3 linked regions of the Notamacropus eugenii genome follow. The protein of the gene in region 1 purifies or fractionates together with the protein of each later gene. This does not show direct contact. Links are inferred from orthologs where the notes say so. Each region holds a gene or a part of one and is shown on either strand. Other genes may lie near its edges.

Evidence for each region.
Region 2: the proteins of DIS3L (region 1) and EXOSC3 purify together in Homo sapiens (affinity purification with mass spectrometry; 6 studies listed by BioGRID and IntAct, counting the BioPlex papers as one, with this or other methods). This does not show direct contact. The link is inferred for Notamacropus eugenii from reciprocal best matches to the Homo sapiens genes DIS3L and EXOSC3.
Region 3: the proteins of DIS3L (region 1) and EXOSC2 purify together in Homo sapiens (affinity purification with mass spectrometry; 5 studies listed by BioGRID and IntAct, with this or other methods). This does not show direct contact. The link is inferred for Notamacropus eugenii from reciprocal best matches to the Homo sapiens genes DIS3L and EXOSC2.

The regions. Positions count from the first base shown.
Region 1 is NC_092872.1:128,842,949-128,853,813, reverse strand, and holds the start of DIS3L (DIS3-like exonuclease 1), read right to left. Parts: upstream 4,543-10,865; 5' UTR 4,388-4,542; coding exon 4,249-4,387; intron 3,990-4,248; exon of another isoform or gene 3,926-3,989; intron 2,335-3,925; coding exon 2,181-2,334; intron 1-2,180. UniProt on the Homo sapiens protein: Catalytic component of the RNA exosome complex which has 3'->5' exoribonuclease activity and participates in a multitude of cellular RNA processing and degradation events.
Region 2 is NC_092874.1:316,498,646-316,509,346, reverse strand, and holds the start of EXOSC3 (exosome complex component RRP40), read right to left. Parts: upstream 5,218-10,701; 5' UTR 5,150-5,217; coding exon 4,841-5,149; intron 2,046-4,840; coding exon 1,896-2,045; intron 1-1,895. Other genes in the region: uncharacterized protein, read left to right, coding at 8,078-8,119. UniProt on the Homo sapiens protein: Non-catalytic component of the RNA exosome complex which has 3'->5' exoribonuclease activity and participates in a multitude of cellular RNA processing and degradation events.
Region 3 is NC_092872.1:482,371,133-482,381,837, reverse strand, and holds the start of EXOSC2 (exosome complex component RRP4), read right to left. Parts: upstream 5,218-10,705; 5' UTR 5,128-5,217; coding exon 5,006-5,127; intron 4,632-5,005; coding exon 4,530-4,631; intron 3,540-4,529; coding exon 3,494-3,539; intron 2,619-3,493; coding exon 2,529-2,618; intron 1-2,528. UniProt on the Homo sapiens protein: Non-catalytic component of the RNA exosome complex which has 3'->5' exoribonuclease activity and participates in a multitude of cellular RNA processing and degradation events.

The DNA.
Region 1 (10,865 bases):
GGAAGTCAGCATAGAAACTCTGAAGGGGTGGGGCTCATGTGCATGGGAACTTGAGAAGCTGGATTTTACCTCAACAATCAATCAATCACTAAGTATTTATAAAGTACCTACTATGCTCCAAGCTCCGCACTAGCTGCTGTGGAGTACAAGTACAAAGGAAGAGACAATTCCCATTGGCGATTAGCTTTCAGCATAAACATAAAGTTAAACACACACACACACACACACACACGAGTTAACATGAGGCAGTTTGGGAGGTTGGGCACTAGTAGCTGAGGAGGACGGCATCAGGAAAAGTATCATGCAGAAGACAGTACTGGAGTTGAGTATTTAAAGGAAGAAAAGGTTGTTATGAGGCTATGATAAAGAGGGGCCGAAAGCACTCCAGGTGGGGAGCAGCCAGTGCAGAAGCAAAGACAGGGCGCGCTGGGAGGGAAGAACAAAGAGAAAGTCTACTTTGGTTGGATCACAACGTGTAAGAGATGAGTGATGTCTACTGAGGCTGGAAAACAGGGGGCCAGGTGGTGTAGAGCTTTAAAAGTTCAACAGAGGAGTTTCTATTTTATCCTGGAGGCAGTAGAAAGCCTCTGGACTGGATCGAAGGAGAAGACACTAACCAAGTCACAAGGAGAACGAGCTAGGAGCTTCCCAGCCACCATTTCCCAACTCGAATTTTAAGGTCACTAAAGTAAGGTCCACATCTTCCTTCTATACCTCCCCAAAAATGGTACCACAGGAGGGGCTCAATATGGACTACTGACTACGATGTGACCATGGTGTATCTACAGGACTACTGCATAAATTCTAATTATAAGACAATTCACAACTACATCAAGCACTGGAAAACCAAAACAGCTTTTCAACAGACAGATTTGTTTAGAAACGTTTCGGAGAAAACTATATTTAAAACTCATCACTTTACAAGTGGAGGATTTGGTATTGCTTTAAAAATCCTTCAAAATAAAAATATTTTTAAAAAACAAAAGATTATCAGGTTCTGCACTGTGTCAGCAATCCAAATGATCACAACAAATTGATTTTTGTTGGAGAAAGTGAAATATGGCACCTGGAGCTGCATTTAAACTTGGAAATGTAAAAACATTTCTATCTTAGTGTCAGAACAAAATCATCTTCAAACTCATTTAATAATATTCTATCTGAAAAACCTGCACACAATCTACTTAATGCACATTTTTATGAACAGGACATGTAGTAAAGGCAATTTATCATTTTAATATACAAATAAAAACACTTTACACCCTTCACTGTCAAGTCATGAGGAAACGTCAATGTTTAATAAGAATAAATAACTCCTGTATTTAAATGATTTTAGGTATTAGGTTGGATATATAACTCTAATATGCTATCTCTCAACAAAGTATGGTCTCCGAGTTCAATCACAGAATCCTCTTAAAACATTAAATGAAGCAAAAACATTGTTAAAGCATTTCTGTTTTAAAAGTCTGCCAATTACTTTTTTCATTTAAATATTTTTATAAGGAAAGAGACTGGCTTTTGTCAGAAGGCCTTTGTTTGGCAAATACAATTATTGTGGATGGCAGCTATGGTGAGACTCTAGAACAAAACATGAGTTTATTTTAGGCCTCCTTCAGTAAATTATTAGATGGTATGATCTGTAAGCACTCGCAATGGAGAAGCATAGATTTTACAGCAAATACTGAACTTGTTTTCCTTCAATAAATTGCTGCAAGTTTCTGAAAGAATGGATATGTATATACACATACATGTACAGAGTTCTATGTATACATGTACGTATATATCAAGATTAACGTGCTAAAGACTCTAAAAAGAAATCACCAATCAGCTTTCTTCCACAAGAGAGAAAACAAAATAATGTGAAGGTTGAGCTGGTTGTAACCTTAAAACACCAACCTACTGGGATATGAGCTACGGAGCCAAACGAATATGCTTCGATCATGTGCTAAAACAAAAACCATAAAATAGAACAACTTCAAAAATGCCTTCCATAATCCCTTATTAAAGGAAGAAATAACAGATTATTTCCAAGTAAATTAAAAAAAAGTAAATAACAAATTAGTTCCAAAATTCCTTTTCCCTATTCCAAAATAATAGATTTCTTATCCTGCCCTTTCCCCTCCAGGACCTTTCTTATTTAATAAGTTCAAATCAGAAGTAAAAATTATGCAAAACAGATATACCTTCGTCCTCTTTGATGCTGTACAGCTTGACAGGCTGTTTGCATGAAAATAATACCTTTCAGCTCAGGAAACTCAAGAATCTCAAGGTAATCTTGAACAACTTTCCAGTCAGGGATAACATAATGAGTCACATCACTGGACAAAAGTTTCCCATCTGGAACATAATGCAAAATTTAAGAGATGAGACAACAGTTCCAAGGCTGCTTTATTACCATTGCCATGTCGCAGAGTCCCAGCGTACAAAATAACTTACAACCTTAACTACCTTGCATGGTTTTTAAAAGACAAGACAGATCTACTTTGGTAGAGGGCCAAAGACCAGGTAAACTTAGCAGCTTCATTTTTCTAAAGGTGGGATAAATAAAAGCATAACATGGTTTATTATGGTGCCAGAGCTGCACTGGGGGAAGTTGATGGATTTTCTGAAAAAAAAAACCACATTTTTAGGATTACTTAGATATTCTGGGTTAACTCATTACTGCCTAACAACTCATATCTGAAGACTGAGTGAAAAAGGCAATTTCCAGAGAATCATGTATTTCTAAATATAATTTCAAGCCAGGAGTTCTCCTTATGTTTCAGAGAGTAATGCTAGTCATCTATAACGCAGGTGTTAATTGAATAAACTATTATGGATGGCAATGAATGATACAATTTCCATCCAGCTCATGGGTCTACCCAACTTTGACCATTCATGTTCCACCAAGCCCTGAAGTTAAGGATTCCAAACAGGACTTCCGCAACCCACCTTCCACTAGAGGAATGATAATATGGGCTGGTTACTTAACACCTCTGGGCCTCAGTCTGGAGGTTCCTTCAACTCTAAAACCTATTATTAAACTCAGCAGTATGAACTGGAGGGTGGTCTTAAAGAAGACCCTGCAGAGCACACCAAAGGCCAAAGTTTTTTCAGGAAGAACTAACAGCAAGGGTTACCATGGCTTCTGCAAGTCTCCTGCCACCATGATGGTGGGTAAAGGTATGGATCCATGCACAGCATGAGGAAGGGGGCATCCAGGTGGCCATGGGACTTTTCCATTAGAATCCACCCTTTCGCCTGCTCTGGGAGACCCTGCCCCAGTCAGGAATGGTCCCTGAGCCTTTAGAAAGCAAGGGCACTTCTCCTATGGTCTCCAGCCCAGTCATCATTGGAGCCAGGCGGTTCCTAAGGGGGCGGACAACAGGCCATCGCCTTTCATAAGACTACAGGGTGCTAAGCTCCAAAACAAGAATCATCTTTAAGAACACGAATCTGGAACCCAAAGCAGATCAATCAACTTGAGATCAATCAATCAACAAGCTCTCATTAAGCCCTCACTGCGGGCCAGACACGGGAGGAGGGGGGGAGGACGACCTTCTAATGAGGCAGCAACGTGTACCTCCAGTCCCCAGTACAAGGCCGAGGGAAAGTGGGGGGCAGGACGGCCGGGAGGGGGAAGGGAGAGAGATAGAAGATGGGAATGAGCTCTACGAGCGGGGGTCCTAATCTTTTTGCGCCTCAGACTGATGTTTCTAGATATAATACGTTACATATAATATATACGTATAAAAAATATTTAAAAGTTACCCCCAAAGCCCCACCCCGTTTACGCTGAAATACAGGGCAAACTTTCTAGAGCGCGGTAAGCAGCAGAAACCCCCCACCTCCCCCGCTGCAGGGGCGCCGACCGCAGGCGCGCAGGCGCAGTGTGGCCATGCCTGCTTCCCGCCGCCCCCCACCCCGCCTCCAGAGGACGCCTCGTTACCCACAAACCGGGGTCTACGTTCCCATCGGAAGGCAGTCGGGGGAGGCCGCAGTTCGCAGGCCCGCCCAGGCCCAGGCTCTAGCCCCGCCCCCGGGGGGGAGGCGGGGACTCACGCCCAGTGTTTACCACCTAGCCCTGGCCGGGCGTAGGCCGCAGGGCCATCCCGCGTCCCCGCCGCCACGAGGAGGCGCAGACCCCGTCTGGACGCCTCGCCTCGGCCCTCCCTGCAGGGGGCGCCACAGCTGCGGGAGGGCCGGAAACCTCGGCCGCGTTTACGCCCCCGCCCCCGCCAGCTCCCTTCCTGCTCCCTCCCCGGCTCTGACCGTTACGGCAGCGGGCGGGCTGCGGGCACAGCGGGCTGTTGCAGGGCACGCTGGGCCGCAGGTAGTGCTCCCTCACGATGCGCACAGTGCGGCCCTGGAACGTCCTCAGGTGCAGCACCTTCTCCCGCTTCTGCAGCATGGCGGCGGCAAAGGCCCGGCAGCGGGAAGAGGCGAGGCCCCGGCGTGGAGCCCGCCCCCTTCCGTCCTCTGGAGGCCGGGCCCTGAGCGCGGCGGGGCGCCTCCCCCCGGCCCGAGGCCGGAGCTGCCTCTGGGGCTGCTGCAGCTGCCGGGGCCGCCCCGCTGCGGGGCCCAACGGCCGCCCCCTCCTCGATCTCGGGGCCTCGCGGAGAAACTCCCTCCGTGCGGAGTCGGGGTCCGAGTCAGAGCTCTGTCACTGGCCGACCCCGAGGGAGCTCCGTGCCTCAGTTTACCCTCCCTGCAGTGAGAGAGAGGGTGTGTGTGTGCGCGCTCGGAGGGCAGGGCGAGAAAACTCTACCCATGCCTGAAGAAGAGATTATGGAAACAAAGGAGGGGAGGAGAAAATACATGAAAGACTCCCACTTCTTGGGAAAGCAGGTTAATTACTGTGGCTGTTAATTACCACAGCTGTTTCCTTTCCACTTGAAGTCAGGCAGCAAACATGTATTAAGCACCAGCTGTGTACCAGGCACTGCGCTAAGCCCTGGAGAAGCAAAGACAAAAACAATCCCTTCCCTAAAGGAGCCCCCATTCTAATGGGGGGGACCAGGTTAGAAGAGCTACGTACACGCAGATGTATGTGTGTGTGTGTCCGTATAGTCTGTTCTCCGTATAAACATATACATGTGTGTATATATGTACAGCCTGCCTTCTCCATACATACACATATATAGACTATCTATATACACACACTTGCGGAGATCATGAAAGACTTCTGGCAGAAGGTGATACTGTAGCAGAGACTTGGAAAGAAGCCAGGGGTGGGAGTTCAGAACGTTCCAGGCTTGGGAGACAGAGGGGATGGAGTTTCTCGTGTCTGTAACTTTGTAGCTAGGATCTGCAAAGAATACACCGTAGGACTCTAAGGGACACCTTACCTGAAACCTCCCATCACCACGAATCTAAACTGAGCTTTGTCACTAGGCAACTGGGGAAGATCCTTCCCTCATTGTGCTTGGAATAACGGAAGGGCTGCTCAGTGGTGCCCTGTTTGTGAAAAAGGGTGCATAGTAAGGTAGCATGTGTGCCTATGCACCTACTTTGTCCTAGCGCAAGATGTTTACATGTGAGGGTGATACTACATTAATTTTTAAAAAGACCTTAAGGGTTTGGAGCTTAGATGATGTGCTTGGTAGTATTTCATCATCAGTGGATTCCATTCATTTATTGATTCAACAAACATTTATTAAAATCTTACTATATGTAGAATTCTTTCAGGCATGGAGTTGATCGAAATTTCAGATAAGACAGTCTTTGGATGGCTGTGAAGACCAAATGAGATAATATACACCATATAGCAAACTTTAAAGAACTATATGAATACTAGCTATTATTATAATTCCTCTAATTTCTAGTGGCCTCCAAAATAAATGCAACTTTGTATTTATTTTGAATTCTGTTCATACTTATTCTGTAAGTAAAAAGGTACACATACATATATAATATATATATGCACACTATATATATACAACATATATGCACACACATTTTGTTTCTCTGATATACAGGGATTATTTATTTATTTGTGTTTGTATCCACAGCACTTAGTATAGTACTTTTGTAGGTGTGTAATAATTTCTTGTTGATTGATTAACAAAATCATTGGAGTTTCCTTGTACCTGAAATCACTAAGTCAAGTCAATAGGCATTTTATTAAACACTAGGCATACGAGGAGAGGCAAAAATGAATAAAAAGACAAGACAAAACCTAACAAAATAATTTGTAGTATTATATGTAGTTTTATGCTTCTTTATGTTTCATCATCTTTTTTTGGTGATAGAACATAGTACAAAATACTTTGTTCATGATTTTAGGTAAAGAGAAACGACTTCATTAATTTTAAGTACTTCTTAAGCATCTGTGCATTCATTGCACCAATAAGCACTATGCAGAGTATGTTAAAGGAAAATCCCTGCTTTCTAAGAATTTACAATCTAAAATGGAAAATATTGCCCTTTCTTTTTTTTTCTCAAAGATTGCCCAATGCTTTTCTTAAAATAAACTACCCTGTTGTCTCTGCTCCCTTAGTTTCAGACTGGTCTGTCTGTATAGTCAGCATTTCATGCCTTTATGTCTGCTTAAAGCTGAACCACAAGGTGTCTTTTGTTGTCCCAGCTTATAATCACCTTCACTTCAGTTCACTCTCAAGCAGCATTTTAGCACAAGTTCCAGTCTTGTTGTATGTTAAATATAGTTTACATATTATTAATCTACTCAAGAAACCAATTTTGAATTCTGTGATAGATCTAAGTTCTATAGTCCTGTAGAGGTTGGACATGTTTGCCACTCTGCACATTTTTAGTCTGATCCGTAGCATGGCGCCATGTCAATACATGATCTGTCTGCCCCTACAAAAGACATACTGGCTGGTCATCTTGATTCAATTTTCAGTTTTTGACTTCATTGTCAGTTAGTGTATCGTTGGACAGCGTGATGCCAGGATAGCAAATTCAGTGACAGCTTTTCACTCCATATTGCTGATGAAAATAATTGACTAGGAATGGGTTCTCCTGGTGCATGACTTGCTTCTTCTTCAGGCTTAGCATCAGTGTGCTTATTCTGCAAAGAGTTGTTAATCATTTGCATGCTTACTTGCATGTGTTTCAAGAGTGCAGCCATCAGCAAACAACAACTTCTGAATTTCTACTGATGAAGGGTGATACCATGAGTGGTGACCAGATGTGCAGTTTTTCAAAGGGTAGGCATAGAACTTATTGCTCCTGAGGGACTTAGGTTTATTTACATTAAATTTGCCATCTTCATGGGATACCAGAATTGACAATCTTTAACTCACAATTTCTTGTATCCTTGTATTATATATTTCTTGTATTCTTGATTGTAAATCAATTAATAGTAGATGGTAGAACGTTCCAGCCCTCAGTAACCCTTTGCATAGCTGAAGACTGCTAAACCATTTTGACTGGATCTCTGGGTATCCTCATTTAGCTCAGCCCTTGGCAATTCCACTCTTCTATCTTGATTCTAAGAAAGGAATCTGTGGGAGGAAAAGAGTTAGGCTTCCAAGTATGGCAGCTTCTTTTAGAATGGAGATTCTTATTATTTTTTTGAGTGTTTCATGGATCCCTTTGGTAGTCAAATAAACATATTCACCCCTTCTCAGAATAATGGTTTTAAACACATAAAATAAAATAGAGAACTATAAAGGAAACTATTGAAATACAGTTATAAGATTTTCTTTTCAATTCACATAAATCCTATGTTAAGAACCCCTGTTTGGGAACCTGCTGGGCCAAATATCACTGATGCACATTTGGAAAAACACTTTTCTCAGGTGGTACCAATGCTTGAATGGGTTATTGAAGAAGCTTGTGGAATTTTCTCGAAAATTTTTCAAAGTTGATGATATGCCCAAGCCAAAGATATTTTGAACAGGTAGCCAAGGGTATAGAGGCACAAAAGAAGGGAGGCATGAAAATATTATCTTTGTAAGAAGTCCAGCAGCAGGATGTTGTAAGTACTGATAATTAAGACCTACAGAATTCAAGTAAGGGTTCTATAGCACACACTATATGGCTGCTCTAACTTTCTTGGGCCTCAGTTACTCTAGCTAGTGTTTCAGAATTTGTTGGGTATTACCACCAACTAGTCAGTGACTAAATGCCATGTAAATAGCTAAAATAACCAAATTTATCCGAAAACAAGGTTATTTTCATTTGTGTCCCAACTCAGTAGAAAATTCGCTTAAAGAGAAATGGTTGCCAAGATGACTCTGTTGTATTAAGGGTAATTTAATTTCATATACATTAAAAGATGTTAATCCTTGATTTTCACTTTTTGTTACAGATATAATAATTCCCTTTTTGCTTTCTGAAAGCACTATGAATCCCCGTAATCCACTTTGCAGTGATTACCATAAAATGTTCTGCTTAAGAGGGTTTTTTTTTGGGGGGGGGGCGGGTATGTTAAAAGAGAAAAAGAATTATTTTCTGTGTGTAAATTGTGTATCTCAGCAGGATTTTTATTGTGCGGTTTACTTTTTTCTTTCTATAACGTAATTTCTTTCTACACCACTAAGGGATGCTATTTCATTTTTTTTAAGGTTATATTGCTAACTCTCCTACTGCCTCATGTGGAGAAGGCATTCAGGCTTGTAGGTTATTCCTATCAAAATGCTTTCAGTTGTTTTTTGTTTTTTTTTTTTCAGAAACCTTTCATATTTTGACTGGGACTTTTGACAAGAAGCTCAGAAGAATTGCTGCTTCAAAATTAATGAGAACTAAACTTCATTCATTGAATTTAAGGAAAATGGTGAGAGGGGTGGGGTCTTATGCTCTTGAAACATGTTACCATGCAGGGAAAATGCAGTTGTGTGATTAGCCACTGAAAATTATTTAAAATATGAGCATCTCTATTTTTTACTTACATTTTCTGTTCTGGTGTTATTTGACAGAATTAAGTTTTCATTTGTCAGTCTTATGACATGGTCACTATGCATAGTTAAATTTAATTTGATGATTATACTGCACAGAATTTCTTAACTCATTTTAGTTTTTTATAACTGAATATAGCTGTCTGGAAACCTGCATTCCATTTCTTATCTTATAATGACAGCTAATGCATTTAAAACCTTGTAATGGAAAGATAATGGAGAGATTAGAAATGGAAAAGATGGATATTGTGTTTTAGTCCCCGAATTCTTGTCTTTGTGGCTTACAAAGAAGTGCATGCTGTAATGAAAAGAACAGAGGACTTCCTGGAAACCTCGGAGGGCTGCAATGCAAAAAAACAGGAGGGATATTTTCACAAATTAGTTCAATTTTAATCAAATAATGTCATTCCTTTAAATAATTTTGCTGTCTCTATATGTAAAGGAAGGAGTAAATATTGAAAGTTCTGAATTTGATACATATGCAAGATTCTACCCCAACAGCTTCATGCCTAAGGAAACAGCCTGTACAATTCATAATTTGATTTAAAATAAACATTTTGAACTTCATAAAATATGTTTAAGACAATCACATTTGTTGGAGTATCTGAAATGTAAAGCAGCAGAAATAATGGCCTTAAGAAGAAATCAGAGTGCCAATGCATTCATCAGGAGACCATACCAATGTGAAGTTGGAGGTAATGATGTCCATGTAAGCCAAATTAGCTTGGTTAGTCCAGGCTGATGGAAAAGTTAAAACAAAACCTTACCTACACCAACCCACATTATGTTCATTTTAAGCAGAATTGATTTATTTTGTACCCAGAACATAGTCAGGAAGACATTGCAAAGACTCAAGCCCACCATTCTTTGTATTTAAAGCAATATGCACAGAAAAAAAATGTCGTGGGATTCACACCCCTTGTCTCACTGTTCCCACGCCCACCAAGAATGAGGGAGAATTGTCTCATTCAGAGAAAGAAACCTTTGCAGATCCACAGTGTCAGATGACGGGAGTCCCAGACATGTCTTAAAAGATATTAATTTTAAGTTTAAAATATCATCATTATAGGCTAGTCTCATTGAGAGATGGTTACTGTGATAAAATCTGAGAGAATGCTAGTATAAACCACTAGTTTTTGTGAAGAATTCAAATAGGGTCAAAGGCATGATGGAGAAACTCTTTGTAACATTTAAAAAAGACTTTTCTTTCTGTATTTTTTATTAAATCTGACATTTTAAGAGGTGCCATTAATAAATATTCTTTCTAGAATGTAAAAGAGTTTGGAGCTTACATGCTTTTTATTGAACCATGAGGTTCTAGCTCTATTTACTTTTTTGGCCTTTGAGGCCCCATCTCTCCAGACCTGAGAGAACTGAAAGCATTTGGTTCATTTTCAAAATTTTAAATTATGCTCCTTAATCAGCTTGAGGGATCCCAGTTAGGAGAAGAAAATAACTTTCTTTTTTCCCTTGTCCAGGGGATAAGAAGGAAACTACTTCTCTGAGACCACAATTTATACCGTCCACTGAAGATTGCTATCATTTCTAACTATGTGCAAATATTGAAAATATCCTAAAATCCATTACTTAATGGATACGAACTTTGCCAACTTTTACCAGACTGAAAACAGTAGATTAGCATTCTTTTTGGCTGCTCTCTCTTCATGTATCTCTGCTCTTGGTCTGACTCCTTCCCCATAGTGTCTAGTGAGACAATGTTATAAAGAAAGAGGCTATCATCTTCTTCCCCCGCTAAGGCTGACATGTGGCCTCATGAAAATGGGCTACAGCTGATCCTCTGTTCTGTGTTCATTTTCTCTCTTAGATGAAGGGATCAGTAACTACAGCTTAAAGGGGTTTAAAAGGTCAGGAGAATGAGCTTTGGGAGGTCTGGGAGCTACCTTTGGTTCAGCATTCCAGGAGTCTGAGTCCACACCAGGTTTTGTAGAAATCTTGCTAGTATTAAGGGCCCAAGGAGCATGGAGTGACCTTTAGAAGTGATCTTTGGGATCCAACCCAGCAAGCACT
Region 2 (10,701 bases), on another chromosome or scaffold:
GGAGAGCTTATGTGATCAAAATTGTCCTTTAGGAAGATCAGCCAACTCAGGTAACCTCAGGTCTGGGTGATCTGACATGCATAGTTAGGTGTTCTAGTCGATCTTTCTGGACCTCAGGGCGAAAGATTACAAATCATTCTTCCACAAGAGTTCCTCAAACTGGGAGGGTGGTATGAAACCAGAAAATGCCACAAGGTTCATACTTCTAATCTAAACCAATAGACATTTATTAAATGCCAAGTCTGTAAAACAGAGATAGGAACTAGACCTGTAATGTCAGTGACATCCAGAATTACCGCATAAGGGAACTCCCTCTAGCAATGCAGTTTGGTCCTTTCTTTGCAATCTACAATTTTACAGAGTTGCCTGGAACATCGTAAAGTTAAGTGATTTGATCAGGAACATAATCCCAGTGTGTCAGAGATAGGATTGGAACCGAGGTCTTCCAGGCTCCAAGGCCAGTTCTGTAATTTCCTCTCATAGACACTAGGATACAAAGGCAAAACGAAAAACAATTCCTGCCTTCAAACTTATGTTCAACTGGATATAAAATGTCCCAGAGAATTCTCAGTTATCTTTCATCCTCACCTTTCTGGCAGATTTGCAATTTAGGCTGAGGAAGACCCCTACTACATGTAAATTTCAGGGCGGCAAACATGCGCAGAGAAAAATAATTTTTGCATCAGGGTTTCAATCTCCCATTCTAATCACAAAATGGCCTACTTCATGAAAATTCCTTACCAAAGAACAAATGCCTATTTATTGTTGTCACAGTAACAGCATGGAAGGAATGAACTTGGCCTATGCTACTTGAGCGGTGTGCTCATTTAGGGAGATATTTCTGGTAGCCGCTTCTACTCAACACTTAACTTATCAACACTGCCTTGCCTAGCTGAGGAGCTGAAACAAATGAGGAAAAAGAAGAGCATCAGAATGAAGCTAATTAAATAAGTCTTAGTTCTAAATACACTATCTGTATATCTGAGTGAAATCACAGGGTAGAGGTGACACTGACTTCACAACACAGTTCTTTCAGATAATGGAAGAGGGGACAAGGTAAGGGAACCAGCATTTATTATAGATCTACTATATAGTAGGCAAAATGTTGTCTGTCTTTCCTTCTGGAAGAGAACCATGGCATCAGAAAGGTGATGTCATGACTCGCAAGTGAATTAGATTTAATGGAGGAAGGGCTGTGCAAAGTCACCAGTCTCATTTTCTCCTCCTGAAGCATCTGAGCCCAGTGGCAAGATACTATCAGGAACTGGAGATGGCCGTGGATGCAGTGGGAGACCTTTATGCATCTAATTTCTCCATAATGCTAAGGTCCGTAACAGGTCTCAGTTTGACTGAGGCAACCCCATTCAGTGATTAAGGCTAGGTAAGAAATGACACAAAGAATGGCCTCTTTTACTTAGTTCAAAAAAAAAAAAAAAAACCAAACCCAAACCAAAAACCCTAACCTAGCAGAGAGAGTGTCGTGGTTTCTGGCTAAAACAGAAACAAATTGATATTTACCTTTACTCTGAGTCAATCAGGGCCCAGACAATGACCACCAGGTAGGGTATGGGCTGGGACTTACTGTTGGCCAACCAATGAGAGCCAAAGTAAATTGGGTTTAAGGCACCGTCCTTAACAAGAAACTGAGCCAGTAAACCCCAAGATAACCTGCCAGGCTTCAGGGATCAAAATTTAGATTTCTTTGAGTAGAGTACCTGCTATGTAGACAGAAGGAGAGGAAGGAAGGAGCTGAGTTACCCCACTGGATCTGGCTAGACGGGTCCCCAGTGGGACACAATGTACTACTCTGGCAATGTGCTAAACGCTTCACAGATGTCTAATTTCATCTCATGATATGACTTCACTTAACATAAAAATAACAGACTCAGTGTTACCTGTACGTTTGGTCTGTTTCTTTTGGTTGCTCCTTCGAATGCCAAATAAGACAGAGAAGCTGGTTCACTTCCTCCAACATCAACCTTGAACAAGTCACCAGATTTAGCAGTCACAATGCCTATCACATGGTCTCCTTTAACCGGGACATACTGCAAGAGAAAAGTCACAAAAGCACAAGCATACAGACTTCTGAAAATTGAAAAAGACATTTCACCAGCAAACCCTGCCAACAGACTTTTACATTTCTGCTTTTAAAAGGCTGTATAATATTTTAACATTCAAGTATCAATATTTATAAATATGTTAATCTAAATATAGGCAATGCTCAAGTACAGGCCACATCCCTAAATGAGACCTCTTTGAAAGGAAAAATCTAAATATATATATATATATATATATATATATATATATATATATATATATATATATATATATATATATATGTATGTATGTATATCATATGCTGAAAAATATAACCTGTTTGAGGGCAGACACTGTTTTGTAGAGGTTTTTGACCTTTGGATATACAGGCAAACTTAGGAGACAAGTCATGGACAACAACTGCACAGAACAGACGGGCAGGGACAGGGTGCTGTCTTCAGAGAGAACGTCTGTACCAATGAGATCACTCAGCACTCAGTCCAGTGCCTTGCACACAGTAAACAAACGACTATTTGCTGAATTATAAATTCCAAATATACAGAAAAGGTACAAATCAAAATAAGATAATCCCAGTGATAAATTTCTTCTCAGTAATTAAGTTTAGCTTCAAACTATCTCAAATTGAGCTATTTATCCATTAATTTTATCCAGATAACATTTATCCACTGAGTTATACATTTCTCCATATAAATATCCAGTTATGTTTATTTTTCTGGCATTTTAGAAAAATATTTTCAGAGTAGAAATTTGGGCTACTTGGCTAACACTGTCCATATACCATTCCACTCCACACAGTGCATAGTAAGCACTTACCAAGTGCAATTCACCAAACACTGACCTACCACGTAGGCACTGAGAGAGATACAAAGGACAGATAAAACCCATCTCTGTCCTCATGGAGTTTACCCTAGAAGAGTATCACTCATGGCACCTCTCTCCTTGACTACTGTAAACCCCTAACAGGTCATCTTGCTTCTTGTGTCCCCCATCAGCAATCCATTCTGAATATTCTCCTCCTTCTCAAATGTTTACCTCTGTCTCTCCTTTACAGCCATCATTCCATAATCTTATTGGAATCTATTACTATGCTTCATCTATGAACACATTATTTGTCCTTTCCCACAGTGAGCACAAGAATTTTGTGGCTTTTATCTCTTTATTTTTTGAACCTACCATAATGGCTTGTATATAGTAAGCATTTAAATACTTGAAGTGAATTGTATTTGTTTAAGTTATAAGCAAAATGCTACCTCATGGAGAGAGGAGACAATTAACAATTGGGTGATGGAGGTGCTGCAGAAAATCCCTTAGTAAGTATTTGTGACATACACTGTGCTGGGCACGAGATACTGAGACAAAAATTAAATAACCCCTGACTTCAAGGAACATATAATAGATTAAGAAAGACTGTATGCAGGAAGTAGCAGTAAACCCAACTTTCAGGGGTGGGGGAGGTGATGGGTAAAGGTCACATTTCAGGCCCTGACAAAGGAGGGACAGTGGAGAACATGTGGTTGTCGTTTATCCTCTCTTTTGGACATCAGCAAGGTGATGCCGTGACTTGCAAGTGAACTGGCTTTAAGTGAGGGAGGGCTGAGCGAAGTCACCAGCTTCACCAGGATATAGATGAGGAAGACTGGAGGTGGCCCTGGATGCAGAGGGATACCTTGGCCTTTTTAAGCTAAGGTCTTTAGTAGGTCTCAGTTTGACTGAGACAATGCCCCCAACCAGTGATTAAGGCCAGGTAAAAAATGGCCCCTTTCTCCTAATTAAAAAAAACAAAACCCAATCTGGGAGGGAAACACCCTCAGAGTTTCTGGCCCAAACAGAAACAATTACAATTTATGTTGACTCTGGGCCACCCAGGTCAAAAAGATGACCACTAAGTGGGGCTTGGGACGGACCCTATTGTTGGTCAATCATGGTCTTTCAGAAAGGAATCCAGCCAGTAAACCCCAAGGTATCTTGCTAGGTTTGTCATCAAAATTTACATTCTTTGGGGCAGAGCATCTGCAGGTAAGGATGTGACACCCCATGTGCATGGAGGAGCTGCACCACCCAAATGGAACTGGCCAGTTGGGTGCCCAGCAGGGCTGCTCAGACTACTCGGAGGTTGTTCTGGAAGAGGACTATGAATGACGTCAGGAAGATGGTGCCATGGCTTGTTCGTGAATTGGATGTAGGCGAGGGAGGAATGTGCCAAGTCACCAGCCTCACTCTCTCCTCCGGGGCCTGAGTCTAATGGCACAATACGGACTGGAAGGGCCCTCAAGAGAATGTGTGTGAGCAATTATTACCTGAACAGCAGGGCGGCATCAAACTTTAGAACGACTCTTAACTGCTGGCCTAGGAAATCTGAATTTTACTCAGTAATCCACAGACGCTAAGGTTTTAGGTGGAGAAGTCACAGGACTAGACATGCACATTTGCCCCTTCCAGTACGCCCCAGCCAGGCTCGGGGCAGTGACTGGCAGAGAGGCCTTCGGGAGGGCAGCGTTCACCCCTGGCTGGTGCGGAGGCACGTGCCAGGGAAGGGGAAGCGCAGCCGGAGCCCGGAGAGCAGAGCAAGGGGAAGACGTCTAAGAGCAGGGGCGCCGGCCAAGGGAAATGGGGAGGCTGAGGCCGAGCCCCAAGATTAAAGCCGGGCTCTGCTTGTGCTAGGGGAGCCCTCCGGGGAGGAGCGAGTTCGCCTCTCCCATGTACCGGCCAGGAGGCCGGGATCCCGCTTGGGGCCGTCTCCGCGTGTTCGAGGCCGGGGCCGGGCCGGGCCTCCTCCACTTACCCGTTTCTGCTGGGAGTCCACCCAGTACACGCCGCCGCCCCCTCCGCCGCCTCCGCCGGGCTCCCTGTGGCGGAGCCGCCCGCACTTGGTGACCAGCAGGCGGTCTCCGCAGCGCCGCAGGCCCGGGCCGCACACCACGCGGGCGCGGGCCCGCACGACCGACCCCAAGCGCAGCGTCTGCTCCACGGAGCCCTCCGTGCCCGGCCCCGCCGACTCGGGCAGCAGCAGCTCCTCCCCGGGCAGGACCACCTGCCCCAGCACGGTCCGCGCCACCCGCGGCCCCGAGCCGGGGATCGGCGGGGCGGCCATCGAGCAGCCGCTGCCGCTGCGGGGCCTTCCACAGCGACCCCTGCAGGACCCGACGTCTCTAGCCCCGGAGCAGAGCAACCCCACATCCGCCACAGGTGGCCCCGCCCCTTCCGCTCAGGGTACACGTCACGTGAGGAGGAGCGGCCTGGCACAGCTCTTCACCGCCCCGCCTTTACGCCGAGGCGCCACACCCCGCGGGAAGGAGGAACGGCTCCGGCCCCGCCCCCCCACTGTGGTTCCATTCCACGTGACTAGAGAACTGTTCCTTCCCACAAGGCCCATGCGCCAGGGCTCCGCCCCTACCTTACCTGGACCCTGGAGCCCTCCCAGACCCCGCCCCTTGCACAGTAGTTCCAGCCCACGTGAGTGAAGGCACCCGCCCCTAAGGCCCCACCTCTTTCTGCTGTGTCCATTCCACGTGATAAAGAACTGCTGCCCCCCCCCCCCCCCCCCCCGCCATGGCCCACCCTTCCACTCCGACTTAGCTCCTCCCACCCTCGGGACAGAAGAGGAGGAGCAACCTTCCGCCTTCGTGGTGGCACTGTCCTGCATGAACTAAGGAGCAGTCCGGGACTTTCCCCCAGAAGCCCTTCTCTACTCCGGACAGTGGAGGGGGCGGAGCACCGAACCTCCACGCCCAGTCCTAGCCCCACCCACTCCAGACCCGCCTCTTCCCCTGTGGTTCCATTCTGGCCCCGCCCCTCTCAACTGTACACCGGACTGCTCCTAGACCCCGCCCCCTTTCTCCCTGGCCCCGCCTCCCTGGGCAGCTCCCGCCTACCCAAGTCCAAGACCAGATTGTCATCCTCTCAGTGCTGGATCCCGAGCTTTTACCCCGATTACCCCGGTACCCCACGTCCCTCCTCTCTAAGTAGGACTTTTCTCAGAGTTCTCAAGGGTTTTTTTATGGGGTCATAGGACTTATCTTAAATGGGCCTTCTGAGATCATCTAATGACTAGATTATATGTCTACTCCAACTCTCATTTTATCTCATTTTGTTTCATTTTGTTTTACATCAAGGTCAATTCTGAATATAATTCTTCTCTTTCTCTACCTTTGCTTCTTTCCAAGTGAGACTTCCTATCCACAAAGGGGAAAAAAGTCCCATGCAACAGTTCATTCCTACAGTTTCCCATCTTTCCAACTAAAACATTTTAGTATTTTACAGAAGGGACTGAGGCCCAGAAAGGGAAAGTGATTTGCCTCAATGGCACTCCAATAATAAATAGCTCAGTTATGATGCACACCCCGAGTTTCTAATTCCAAATCCTAGGTTCTTGCCTCTCTACTACTGTGTCTCATCAGCAAAAAGCTGTCTCCTGAAAGGAAAACTCATTAGATTGGACTATGAAATAATTTATCTATAAATTGCTAGTTTTTTAGTCAAGGATTATACAGTAATAGTACTGTATTCTCAGAAACCCAGAATCCTAGACCTTTTGAAAAAGTCCCACCTTTTGAGACATACAACCACACACACACACATACACACTTCACAGACGATACAGCAAAACAAGGCATCAGAAAGTGAGAAAGTTTAATTTTTTTTAATTATTCATACCCTTAAGCAAAGCTAGCAAGTGTGTAAGGCCACATTTGAACTCACATTCCGGCCTAAAAAAACCCCCACATATTTCATTTATAGACACAAATTATTCAAATTTAATAAAATTAAAAAGCACAAACAAAATAAAAAATGGCTAAAATTAGGAGAAAAGATGGATTGGGGGAAATTTTATATAGTTTTTTAAAATCAATTTCCCTTGCTCTATCAATCATCTGTAACATGTTTTTAGAGCTGCTTGGAGTAGTGAGAGTAAGTGACTTGTCCATGATCACACAGGCTGGCTCATAACTAATTAACCTTTTGTATTTTTCAGCTAGGTAGCCCAAGGGATAGAGGGGTAGACTCAGAATCAGCAAAATCCTGAATTTAAATTGTGCCTCAGACCCTCCCTAGCTGTGTGCCCATGGGCAATCTTTCTCAAAATTCCTCTTTGTAAATGGGGAAGTGTTTTGCCAACCTTAAAGCACTATGTGCATCCTAGTACTTAACCATTTCTGGCTCTAAGGCCAGCTTTCCGATGCTTCTCCTGCCTGAAACATCTCTGAGCTGGACTTCCAAAATTCCCAGAGAATTCACTCCTGAAAAAGATCTGTAGCTAAAGGAAAGGAAGAGTTTTCAGGAATCCTCTTAGGCTACTTCTGCATCCCCATCGGGTGATGACAGATGAGGGTGGATGGGGCATTTCCTAAAGAGAATACAAAATGCAGTCGCTTCCTAGAAGCAGGCTGCTCATCTCTGTATCACCCATGGCACTGATGGGTCCTAGCGGCTGCACGGTCACGGTTGGGGTCAGGGTCAGATCCCTTCCTTTCCCTCAGCCTGGGTTTGGAATTCCTAGGGCTCCAGGTTGGGAAAGGAACACAGATGGAAGGAGAGAGAGAGAGAGAGAGACAGAGAGAGACAGAGACAGAGAGAGACAGAGACAGAGAGAGACAGAGACAGAGAGACAGAGACAGAGAGACAGAGAGAGACAGAGACAGAGAGAGAGAGAGAAAGAGAGAGACAGAGAGACAGAGAGAGACAGGGAGAGACAAAGACAGAGACAGAGAGAGCAGGGAAAGTGGAAGCGTGCCAGGGAGAAAAAGGGAAGAGAGACGCGGGTAGAAAAAGGCTGGAAGGGAGGGGGAGAGAAAGTAAGAGAAGAAATAGGAGGGGAGGAGAGAGGAAGGGGCGGGCGAGACGTGGGCGGAATTGCGCCGCCCCTCCCTCCGTGGGCAGACCCTTCCCGGGGAGGGCAGAGAGGGGCCGAAGGGGCGAGTCCCGCGGGCGCAGCCTCACTCGTCCTCTCCCCGCGCCCGGACGTAGGCTCGGGAGGCGAGGGTCCGGCGGCGGGAGCGGAGCCGAGCCGGGGCGCTGCGCCATGGGCCTCCTCCTCCGCCTTCTGCGCCCGGGGCTGGCGTCGGTGAGTTGCGGGGCCCGGGGCCGCGGGAGGCCGGACGCTGCGCCTCGCGGGGTGGGGGGGCGCCCTCCGACCCGGCCGCGCGTGCCTCGGTCACGGCCATGGCCCCGGCCCCCGCCCCGGGAGCCTGGGTGGTGCTGGTGCCTTCCGCGCCCATCACACACGCACACGCGGCACACACGCGGGCGCTCACATGCGCGTCCCTGGCTACAGTCTCCCCTTCAGGGCGCTCACGGTAGTTCTAGGGGTCTCCGGCCCTCGGGCGGCGGCGGCCTCGTGGCCGTGTGGCCGGCCCGCCTTCCCTTCCTCGGACTCAGTTTATCTGTGGTATGGACGAGGCTGGAGGTGACCCCCCAGGGTCTCAGGTCGCTGGTGGGAGGAGCCGGTGATCGCCCCCTTGCTTTTTCAGGGTGGTGTCCCGAGTCTTAACGCCGTTACAAATGTGAGGGATCAAATTTTAGAGGAAGCTGGGTCTCAGAGAAATGTCTGCCCACAGATGGTAAAGGTTACAATTCAGTTAAATTGTTTGTTTGTTTACAGGGGGCGGGGCTTAAGCGGTCTTGTTGCGCCAGCTTTGCTCCGGGAGCTTTGTAAATATCTCATCGGATTGTCACCGCAGCCTTTTGAGCTCGTTCTGTTACAGCCACTCTGTAACAATGTAGCAGCAGCTACTTCCACAGATGGTGAAATGACCTGCCTAAGGTTACACAGTTAAGTGTCTGAGGTCACCTTGGAACTCGTGTCCCTGCTTAACTCCAGACCACCTTTTATTGTGCATAGTTATGGAGAGGCAGTCTGGTGTAGGGAGCAGAGAGCTGAGTAAGGGGGCAGGAAGGCTTAGGCTCGAGCCTGATCCTGAGACCTTGGGGAAGTGCCCCCAGATAAGGTTTTAAGATCAAAAATAGCAAATCAAGTGGCAGTTTGCATCGGTAAGAGGGTATTTCCTCGTGGGCATTTCCCTTTACCAGTTGTCAGAATTCCCATGCCAAGTCCAGGACAGTAAACCTAGTCCTAGATTAAGAAGTTAAAATGGCAAGTAGAACATGATGTTGTTGGGTTATTTTTTTCAGTGACCTTATTTAGGATTTTCTTGACAAAGATAACTGGGGTGGTTTACCATTTCTTTCTCCAGCTCATTTTACAGAGGAAGAAATGAAGGCAGACAGTGACTGACCCAGGATCATACAGCTAGTAATTGTCTGAAGTCATATTTGAACTTCCTGACTCCAGGCTGTAACAGCAAGCATTTTGGCACCCAGGAGGTCTTAGATCTGCTTTTCTAAAAGGAAAGCAACTTGAAGAAGGAGTAAACAATCTTTAATTACATATACCAACAGACAGAGCTTCTAACTGACCGTAGGCAATACGTACATGTTACCAGAGAGAGAGAGAGAAGCACAGACATCCGGGTTTTCAAAGTGGGGGGCACAAGAACCTTCTTCCAAAAACTAAGCCCCAAAGTAGAACCTCACCTCAGAGTATATACATATGTGTGTATGTGTATATATACGCTTTTCCAATATATCTCCTGATCCAGTGCATCCTTTGCAATCATCAAGAGGTGTGGGTCTTCATACAGATTCAGTCACCCTGAATAGTCCCACCAAAGGCCTCTCAACTGCCGGGGAAGAGTTTGAACTCCCATTACACATGCCCCTTTATCCACTTCACCACCTGGCTTTAGTAATGGCAATATAATTGGTGGTATAATCACCTCAAACTTAACCCTGTTCTGTTTAATTCATTAATAAAATCATAATTTGATAAAATCTGATATTGATCAAATCACAGTGAAAAGAATAAATGCTGATTAAGTTGACCTTGACTTGGATACCTAGGAAAATTCTAGACTGGATTATTGAAGAGATTGTTGTTGGACATCCAGAAAGGGAAATGGTGACAGTGGACTATAACCTCTATTCCTGGAAGTTTAGACCCTCTTCAAGCAGTCTAAGATCACATTCGCTTTGTTGGCTGCCACATCCCAGTGCTGATTCATTTTGAGCTTATAGTGCACTAGCACCCCCGGATCTCTTTCAGATAATTTTACTTGTGAACTTGAATTTTTGTACCCAAATGTACAATAAATCTTGCATTTATTTCTGTTGGATTTTAGTATATTAGATTAAGGCCAGTGCTCTCCCCATCAAGATCTTTTGGGAACCTGACTCATTTTGTTTGTTAACTGTTAACTAGCTTTGTGTCATCTGCAAATAAAAATATGAAAACAGCACAGGGCCAAGCATAGATTCCTGGGGGACTCTTTCTAGATGTCCGCCAACCATCTCTTTGATAATTTTCCCAAGAAACAAAGTTAAATTCACTGGCTTATAGTTTGCTGACTCTAGTCTTTTAATTTTTTTAAAAATGTAGACATTTCTCTCTAGTATTGTGTTCTCTCTCCTTTTTCCCTCCATGATCTTTCAAATATTGTTCACTTAGCAATCCTATCTATCTACCACTTCTTTTAGTGCAGGAAAATATAGTTCGTCTGGGCCAAGTGATAAAAATATGTCGAGTGACTATGCTCTTCACTTACTGTATCCTGGGTTTGAAATCCCTGTTAATCATTTTTGTTCTGTCGT
Region 3 (10,705 bases), about 350 Mb from region 1:
CATCTGCTACCAATTTACCAAGATGTAAACTGTCTTGGGCAGCTCAAATCATAGTGGGGACAGTCCTAGACAAGAGTCAGAAAGATCCAAATCCAAATCTGTGTCAGACAATGGCTATGTGGATAACTCTGGATAAGCCTCCTTATCTGTAAAATGAGGTGGCCAGTGAGGTCTCTTCCAGCCCTAAGTCTAGGATCCTATGATCCCCCAAAAGAACTCTGGAAATCGGAGAACCTTACAGCCAGAAGGATCTTAGGAATCATAGTCTAACCCCTTTGCTTTATCTCTCTGTGCCCCAGTCTACCCGCCCATAAAAAATAAGAAGTCTGTACTATATTATTCATAAGGGCCTACCTCATTTCTTAAGCACAACAGCAGAACTATCATACCTCAGTCAATCAAAGGCAGCAGTCTCTCTCTGCTGCTCTCTCTCTCCTCCCACCTCCCCCTTATGTCCAATTTTCAGATGACACAAAGCTAGAAGGGAAAGCTAGCCAGGCGGGCACAGAGGGTAGATCTAGTAAGTTGATGTTTGTTTTATTTTGTTTTCATTTGGCTGGGAACCAAATGTTTGAGTTTGTTGGTACAGGGGTCTCCAAGGGAGGAAACCTTCCTCCAAACCATAAAGATCAGTGTTTGCTTCTGCAACTTTTGGTCTCAGGACTAGCATGGGGCACTGAGAAGTGAAAGGCTTAAAGCAGGTCACACTGAGCCAGGATGAATGGAGTTAAGACTTGAATACAGGATTCTGAGGTCACTTCACTAGCCACTACACCAATCTGCCTCTCAAGATGGAAATTTAATAAGGATAAATATAAAATTTTATGCAAAAAATTCATAAGTATAGGATGGGAGAACACTACAAAGACAACAGATGGGAAGTTTTAAGGAGACTATACTCTCAGTGAGTCAACAGTAAGACATGGCAGTCAAAAAAGTTAATCTAATTTTGGAATGAACTAATAGTGAGCAGTCTAGTGTCCAAAAGGCAAGAGGTAATAATCGCATCATATTCTCTCCTGATTACATCAGTGCTGAATTATTGCCGTATTAAGTTTGAGGCTCTATATTTTTAAGGACACAAAGTTGGCAGAGAAGAGAGACTGGGAAGCTGAAAAGGCTGGAGACCATACTATCTAAGGACTGAATGACCGGCAAATAGCTGAATGAAAAGAGACTTTGAGGGAGGAGACCTATCAGCAGCCTTCAAAGGGCTGTCACTATGAGCACTTAGCACAGTGCCTGGCACATACGAGGCTCTTAATACATACTTGTTGCCTAGACTGGCACAAGACAGATTTAGATTTGTCCTATTTAGCTTCAGAGGGGAGCACCAGGTTAAAGACGCCATGTCACAGTGGCAGAAAGAAGCAGTCACAGACAGGAGAGATGGGTTTGAATTCCATCCCTGATGCCAACCTGTTTAGATTATCCGCCTTAAACTTGTTTTCTAATCTATAAAATGAGGACAATAGGACTTACACTGCTCATCTCACATGCAACCACTATCTGAGCATGGCGGTGTCATTCTCCTTACTATAGACCTGCAGAGGCAGATCTCAGGCTCAGTGGAAGGACATGCTTCCTACAACAGGAGCTGTCTTGCAATGGCACTGGCTGCTTCAGGAAGTTGTTCGCTCCCCATTAATGGAGGTCTTCAAGCACAGGATAGGTGACCTTTTGTCAAGGATGAGGTCGAAAGGGTTCCTGTTCAGATACAGGATGAAGCTGATGATTTTTGAGCTCTCTTAGAGATTTTGTAATTGTCCTCTTTCTTCTACACTGCCCTAAGACTGTTAATGACATCCAAAGGAACCATTAAATCCAAAAGGAAAACATGAGGGCTAACAAGATTTTCACTTCTGCATGACAGTACAGGTGTACACCACCTTAAGTAAATCAGATATGAAAATCCAGTCATATAAAGATAGAAAAATTAGAAGGAATTTTAAACAACTTTTTAAAAAGGCTTGGTATACGATTCCTTTACAGAAAGTTTCTCAGGGCAGTTAGGTGGCGCAGCGAGACACCAGTCCTGGAGTCAGGAAGACCTGAATCCAAATCCAGCCTCAGACACTTGACACTTACTAGCTGTGTGACCTTAGGTAAGTTCCCAATTGCCTCACCCAAAAAGAAAAAAGTTTCTCATAGTAAACTTACATCACGAGTCTATATGCTAAAATGTAATTTACATACAGCTTTCCAGAAACATGCTGTCTGTGTAAAGCAGTACAGAGTTGGAGCAGGAAAATGAACAGAACCAGGGGTCTTAGTTCTTGTTGTATACGGACCTTTCAAATAATATTTCATGTTACATTAAAGTAAGAATAAACATTGCCTATGTTGAAAAAATTTAGCACTCCATCACTTAAAAGAATGATGTTTTAATCCTACCAGTAAATTTCCTCTACATTTTCTTAGAGCAATAATGGAACATGCCAGTGATGTCCACTGTCTGTGTAGAAATCCCAAGCTTTAGTAGCTAAGGCTGGACAGCAGGAAAATGGAATTTAGCTGCAAACGCTCACCAGCTCTCCTCCTGGAAGGTTCATGGATGACAGAAGCAAGACTGAATCCAGCCTGGAATTGGTCTCCACCTTCCACCGCTTCTGTTGAACCTACAAAGTAAGAAATTCTAGAGTTACTGACTCAAATTACATGAATCCAGACTCTGGACAGTCAGTGACCCCAAATATTACAGCCTAAATTTCTGCAACAAAAACAACACAAATTACAATTTAACTAATCATGCATTACAAAATACAGGACAGTCCTCTACCAAAAATTGTGTCACAGGTTTGACTTTTTTTAAAGCACACAATCTCTACGAATTGGTTCAGCCATCCTGAAAAGTAATTTGAATCTATGCCCCAAGTCACTAAGCTGTGTGTTTGTACCATTTGATCAAGCAATGACACTTCTAAGCCTACACACCAAAGAGATCAAATAAAGAGGAAAAAAATCCATGTGTATGAAAATAATTATAGCTGTTCTCTTTGTTGCAGCAAAGAACTGGAAACAAAAAGAGTATTCAGTCATTTGGGGAATCACCAAACAGCTTACAGTACAGGAAAATAGTGGTGACTGATTGTACCGTAAGAGTCGTTGAAAGTGACAGTTTCAGAGAAAGCTAGAAAGACTTATATGAACTGAAGATGAGTGAAAGGAGCTTAAAAAATAAATTCAACTCAAAAGTCTTTTAAGAACTTTAACCAAATCAACGACTACTCACAATTCTAGAAGAAGGTTGATGGACAAAAGATGCACTTGTACATTTTAGGGCTTGGCAAAATGTGTTGACTACACTTATTTCCATAAGCAAAACAACTTTAAAAGTAACATGATGACTCATATACTTTTTTAAAGGATACAAGAAAGTTATGGTTTCACACATAATTGTCTTCTGTTCTACTTTATATACATAGAAACATTCCCTGTTTGCTTGTGAAATTCAGAATTTTTTTAAAAACAAACTTCTTGATTCAAACTTTACCTCTGTGATTCTCCCCACCACAATGTCTCCTACTTCCCCATTATACCTGAAAAAGACAAGTCAATCATTAGAAAATTTATATTTTTCAATTTTCTTTTCTATGAATTTAATAATCATCCACAAACACAAATATTTCAGAAGAGAAGCAATAAAAACAAGGATTGTATATGAAAGTGTAAACTTCTGTAACAGTTTGGGTTTTTTCAAGCATATACTAAATTTAAGATACTGGTAACAAAACTGCTCTAGGTGTCCCATTTGGAACTTATTTTCTGTGCACTTTTTAAAAATGTCCTATCAATGATCTTTTCCTTTTTTCTACATCTCTATCAATCCCCACTAACTCTCAACACCAATAGAAAGCCTCCATTTTAACAAATTAGTATAGTTAAGCAAAACAATTCAATGCACTGGCCAGATTTGAAAATGTAGGTCTCATCCTGTGCTTCTAGCCCATCACTTTCTTGACAAGAGATGTAGGGCATGCTTTGTCACCAGTTTTCTGGAGTCATGACTGTTCAATGCAGTGATCCAAGTTTGTTGTTACTCTGATTAGTTGCTGTACTTCTTTACCACCTCTCTTGTACTGCTTCATTTAACCCTTATGTGTCACTTCGCTTTTTATGCATTTCAGCCCAGCTAGACTACAAGTCACTGAAGGCTATGAGAGTATTTCACTTTCCGATACCACCAAGGATATATGAGTGTGGTTTAATCCTTGAGGAATTTACTCCCGCTTTAGAACTAACACAAATGTCAAGCCTCTCCGTAACCTAACAAGGAAAATTATGGCTAGACAAGAGAAGTGCTCGTTTGCCGTTAAAGAATATCCAGAATTACACCAAGAACCGAAGTTCTGGTCCATCCCCACTCCGTTCTCCAGAGGTTTCTGCCGGTATCACTTGCACTTAACGATGTTTAAATAAATAAATAAAGGATTTAGCCCCATTTCCCCCACCTTCAGAGTAGGCTTTACAACCTAGGCTGGGCCCCCCAAAGCCCCGCCGCGGCCACCCCCGGGGCGGAGCAGACACACCTCGTTTTCAAGGCCTTCACGCAGATCAGCTTGTTCACCCTCTCCACGGAGCCGGCCACCGAGGCTATCAGCTTCTCATCTCCCATGTAGGTCCCATGGCCCCTGCAACAAGACCCAGCCGTCACCCAAGGCCGCGGGCCCCGCCTGCTCTCCCCCTCGGCGCTACCGGGGGGCAGGGGCTGCGGAACCTTCTTATCCCCATCGTGGAGCGCCGCTCCTGGCACGCAGCTGGACGCACGGACACTTGGGAAGAGGGACGGGAGGACCCAAGGCCGTGCAGGAACAGGTGTGAGGACAGTGGGCACCTGCAAGGGCACTCAGGGAAAAGCCACGGAAGAAAGGGATACGCAAGGACACGCGGGGACAGAGACTCGTGCGGGCGGGAACACGCGGGTCTTAGGGAAGGGAAAGAGGAAGCCCGAGAAGCACGTTAAGGAAGGCTCTATGGGAGCCTGACCGGAGCCCCTGCCGCGCACCGCATGAAGCCGGTGTCCGTAGTGATCGTGTCCCCGGGCACCACCAAGTGCTTCTGCGTGTCCCGGTCCAAACTCTCAGGTAGCCGCTGGCGAGCCACAGGAAGCCGAATCTCCATCGCCATCTTGAAGCCCAGAGGGCCGCGCAAGCGCACCCGACCCTAGAGAGGCTGTTTCCGGTTCTAGAACTACTGGCAGCCAGAAAATGAAATGGGGCGGAGCAAAGTGGGGGGCGGGACGAAAAAGGGGCGGCACTTACTTAGATAGCTACCAATGGGGACCCGCTGCTGGACGGCCATCTTTTTTATTGGAATGAAGGACTATGAGTAGTTTCAAGTACTTAAATGAAGGGGAAGAGCAAATGAAGTTCCCATATTTACTACTGGCGACCCCTTCCCCGCCGTTAACATTGGCTCCAATACACTACTTTAATGGGGATAGGACTTAGACGTCGTAGGCTTAAAATTATTGCTTGGGGAAGGAAAATTTTAAATAATAGAATAACATTAATTCCTTAACATTTTATGATTCTCATTTCCCAATTGATAAATGGTCAAAGGATATGAATAGAAAGTTTTCAGAAAAAATAAAAACTATCAATAGCCACATGAAAAAATGCTCTAGACTGAATCACTATTGAATAGAAAAATTCAAATTAAAACAACGCTGAGGTACCAGCTCACACCTTTCAGACTGGCTAATATGACAAAAAGGGAAAATGACAAACGGTGGAGAAGTAGAGTTGCGAATTAGTCCAACCCTTCTGCCCAAAAGGTTATAGAACTGTTTTAAACCCTTTGGCCCAGCAATACTAGATATGTAGGAAAAAGAGATTAAAGTAAAGGGGAAAGAACTTATTTGTTCAAAAATATTTATAGTCCATCTTCTTGTGATAGCAAAGATTTGAAAATTAGAGAGGGATACCTATCAATTTTTTTTCTTTTATTTGTTTTCAGTGTTCTACAATCACTTCCATGTATCTTCTATTTTTCCCCTCCTTACCCCTCTTCCTTCTCTACCTTCTCACTCCCTCCCTGAGACAGCATACAGTTTTATATAGGTTCTACACATCCATTCCTATTAAATATATTTTCACCATAGTCATGTTGCATAGAAGAATTAAAATGAACAGGAGAAATCATAAAACAAACCAAAACATAATACAAAAGAAAATGATCTGGTACATTCTGCAATCGAATCCCACAGTTCTTTCCCTGGATGTGGAAGGCATTTTGCCTTAAGAGACCATTGGGAATTATTTAAGTCCTTGCATTGCAGTGAAGTACTGAATCTACCAGAAAGATTCCTCCCACACTGTGGTTGTTGCTGTGCACAAAGTTCTCCTGGTTCTGCTCCTTTCACTCTGCATCAGTTCATATAAGTCTTGCCCGGTCTCTCTGAAGTCTTCCTGTTCATCATTTCTTACAGCACAAGAGTATTCCATTACATTCATATACCACAATTTATTCAGCCATTCCCCAATTGATGGACATCCCCTTGATTTCCAGTTTTTGGCACCCACAAAGAGAGCTCCTATAAATATTTGTGTACATGTGGGACCCTTTCCCATTTCTATGATCTCATTGGGATAGAGTCATAGAAGTGATATTGCTGGGTCAAAGAGTATGCACATTTTTGTAGCCCTTTGAGCATAGCTCCAAATTGCTCTCCAGAATGGTTGGATCAGCTCACAGCTCCACCAACAATGAATTAGTGTTTCAACTCTCCCACATCTTCTCCAACATTTATCATCTTCCTGTTTTGTCATGTTAACCAATCTGATAGGTGTGATGTGGTACCTCAGAGTTGTTTTGATTTGCATTTCTCTAATCAATAGTGATTTAGAGTGTTTTTTCATATGAGTATAGATAGTTTTAATTTCTTCCTCTGAAAACTGCCTGTTCATATCCTTTGACCATTCATCAATTGGGGAATGACTTTTATTCTTGTACATTTGGCTCAATTCTTTATGTAATTTAGAAATGAGGCCTTTATCACAGACACTAGTTGCAAAAGGTCTTTCCCAGTTTTCTGTTTCCCTCCTAATCTTGATTGCCTTGGGTTTGGTTGTACAAAAACTTTTCAGTTTAATGTAATCAAAATTATCTATTTTGCACTTCATAATGCTTTGTATCTCTTGTTTAGTCAAAAATTTTTCCCTTCTCCATAAATCTGATACAGTATTCCTTGTTCCACTAATTTGTTTATAGTATCAATCTTTATATCTAGATCATATACCTATTTGAACTTTATCCTTGTGTATGGTGTCAGGCATTGGTCTATGGTCTATGTCTAGTTTCTGCCACACTATAGGATACCCATCAATTGAGGAATGGCTGAACAAATTGTGGTACATGATTGTGATGGAATATTATTGTATGATAAGCAGGATGGTTTCAGGAAAATCTGGGAAGACTTCTATGAACTGATGCAAAGTGAAGTGAACAGAACCAGGAGAACAGTATATACAGTGACAGAAATATTGTGTTAACAGGACTTTACTGAGTCAGTCTCTAACCTGAGAAGGATGAAATAGCAGGCCAGAGACAAAGTGCCAGTAATCAGGTAGCTATTTAATTAATTAGTTTCACTATAAGGAACAGATTTGCAAATTGGGAATTCCCCTAATCAGAATTCCACCTTGCTTAAGTGAAGACAGAGATTATATACATAATTCACAATGGGAAGGGAGGGGGGAAGATGGATTACAAACAATAAACAATTCTGGAGTTCTGCGGGAGCAATATTACTTGAGTCTTTAGGAGGTCATTACTTGGTGGATCACAGGACCAGAATTCTGTAACCAGAACAGGCTCTATAATTTTTGATTAGCCTCATTTCAGGTGTGTAGGCACAAGGATGTTGGTAACTGTGAGCATTGTCAAAGTTTGACTGCATTATGAGTCTGATTCACTAGCTGGAGAGGCAACTCTTGAGAAAATTAAATTATTAGTATATTCATTCCACATTATCATGTCCATTAATATGAAAATTCTGATTCCTTTCTCAATTGTAAGAATGGTTAACTGTGAAAGACTTAGTACTCTGATCAAGAAAATGATACAAGACAACTCCAAAAGACCCATCGTGAAAAATGTTGTCCACTTTCAGAGAGAGCTGACAGACTCCCTCCTCTTGACAAAGGATTCAGAAGTCAAGTAACTGGCTGGGAAAATGCCCAAAAAAGGGGAAAAAATAAGACCATAGAAGGTTACTTTCTTGGAGAACAGGTGTCTCCTTCCATCCTTTCAGATGAGGAAGAACAAGGCATACTGTCAGAGGAAGTCAAGGCCTCTGCCTCCAGTACCTCCAAAATGAATATGAAATGGGCTCAGGCCATACAAGAGCTTGAAAAGCATGTCAGCAGCCTGCTAAAGGAGAACCAAAAAAAATTGCTGAGGAAAATAACACCCTTAAAAAGAGGATAACTCAATTGAAAAAAGAGGTCCAAAAAGCCAATGAGGAGAAGGAGGCTTTAAAAAGCAGAATTAGCCAAATGGAAAAGAAGGTTCAAAAGATCACTAAACAAAATAATTCTTTAAAAGAGAGAATCAAATTCATACAGCTGACAGACTCTACTGGCAGTTTGAAGCAAATTTTTCTTAATTTATTTTTCTTGTTTTGTGTGTGCATTTATTCTTTTGCAACATGACTAATATGGAAATATGTCTTCACAACTTCACACATATACGCAATATCATATTTCTTGCCTTCTCAAGCAGTGGGGGAGGAGGAGAGAGAAGGAGAGAATTTGGAACTCAAAATTTTTTTTAAAGTATGTTAAAAATTTTTACATGTTATTGGGAAATATTTAATGATATAAATAAAATATATTTTAAAATAAATGAAACATTTTATGTCTCTTTAGTTTTCAAAGTGCTTTCGTAATCTCTTCTAAGAGACAGTGTGGTACTGGGGAAAGAACTTTGCATTTGAAGTCAGAGGATATGGATGCATATATAGAGTCTGTCGCACTGCCTCAGTCACTAATACGTGACTGAGCAAGCCAGTTAACCTTAAGTAAAACAGAATGTTGGACTGGATGACCATTTTAGGATCCTTCTAACTAAAATATGATTTTATTTTTCTATATCTTGTTATCCTTATGATAGGACTGGTAGTGATTTTAAAATCATATAATCAGAATCTCATAATCTCAAAGGTTGAAGAGATCTGGGAAGGTGTAGGATGGGAATAGGGGGACGTTAAGTCCAACCCAAACGTGGCCAAAAAGACAGGGATCCCTCTGACAATATACCCATGTTGCCACTCAGCCCTTCCTTGAAGACTTCCCACGAGGAAAACCTTACTACCTCTTAATACCATGTTCCACTGTTAAATTGTTCTAACTGTTAGAAAGTTTTTCCTTACATGAAGTCCTCAGAGCTGGGCTGACCACTTCTCCCCTGAGGGTTTTCAGGGTAGTCCTAATGCTAGGGGGTTTCTAGTACTATAGTTTCTGTGTGCCCACCTGTGTGATAATAATTAGCCAGTTGCCACCATTAGTTTTTAGAAAAAGGGATTTACTGAAAGGTAAAGAATAGTTGGTACTAAACATTCTACTTTCCCCACTCCTAAAGAAACTAGGGATACTCACTCCTTGTTTATAAACGTTACCCCTATGGGGAGAGCTGACAAATTTAAAGGCAATGGGCTTAAATAATGGCAGTGAAGCAAAGTATAGACAGAGAACACTTGTGGCAAAAGGGTACCTCCCCACTCTTGGCCCTGAAAGTCCTTTTCTCCCTCCATGAAGTCCTCATGAAGTTCTCCCTGGATGTTGCTCTTTCTTTTTCTCATCTTAGAGAATCAGTGCATCGCTATAATTCATAGTCAGCATCCCTCTCTGTTACAAAGGGTCACAATCCCTAAAACTTCTCCTCTGTTCTAGTGACTGTTTTTCCAGACCTATCTGCAGATACCTACCTCTTTGGCCTTGGACCACTATTGCTCCAGGGCCTACTACTGCCTCTGGGGCAGCTAGGTGGTACAGTGGATAGAGCACCAGTGCAGGAGTCAGGAGGACCTGAGTTCAAATCTCACCTCAGACACTTGACACTCACTGGTTGTGTGACCTTGGGCAAGTCACTTAACCCCAATTGCCTCATTCTAGGTCATCTCTAGTCATCCTGATGAATATCTGATCACTGGATTCAGATGGCTCTGGAGGAGAAGTGAGGCTGTTGACCTGCACAGCCCTCCCTCACTCAAAAACAAAAGTCAAGTGAAAGTCATGTCATTATTTCTCTGATGGCATGGTCTTCTTTGGCAATGAAGGACGAACATACACACTACTACCTCTAAAACTTCTAGATCTCCTATGCTCACAAGGTCATTTCCTGAACATCTGAGTTTGCCTTAGATGAGAAAAGAGCAAAAATAGAGGTGCCATATTTTCACAAGCACCATAGCAGAATAAGAGAAAGGACATCCAACCTCCCCCCAGCTGGGTTCTTGGGGGCAATTCAAAATGGACCTCCCTCCTAGAGACTGCAAAGGAAAGAGAATGAATGATGAGTGGATTGTCCCTTTCGTATTCACATTCAGTTCTGCAGCTGATTAGAAAACTTTCCATCATCAAACCATACCAGCAGAGCCTTGGTCAGGCATGGCTGGAGAACTACTTTCCCTGTTTCCACACAAACATGACCCCTTGGACTGAAACTAGGTGGGGAATGTGTGTGTATACTGAAAGGTCTGGCC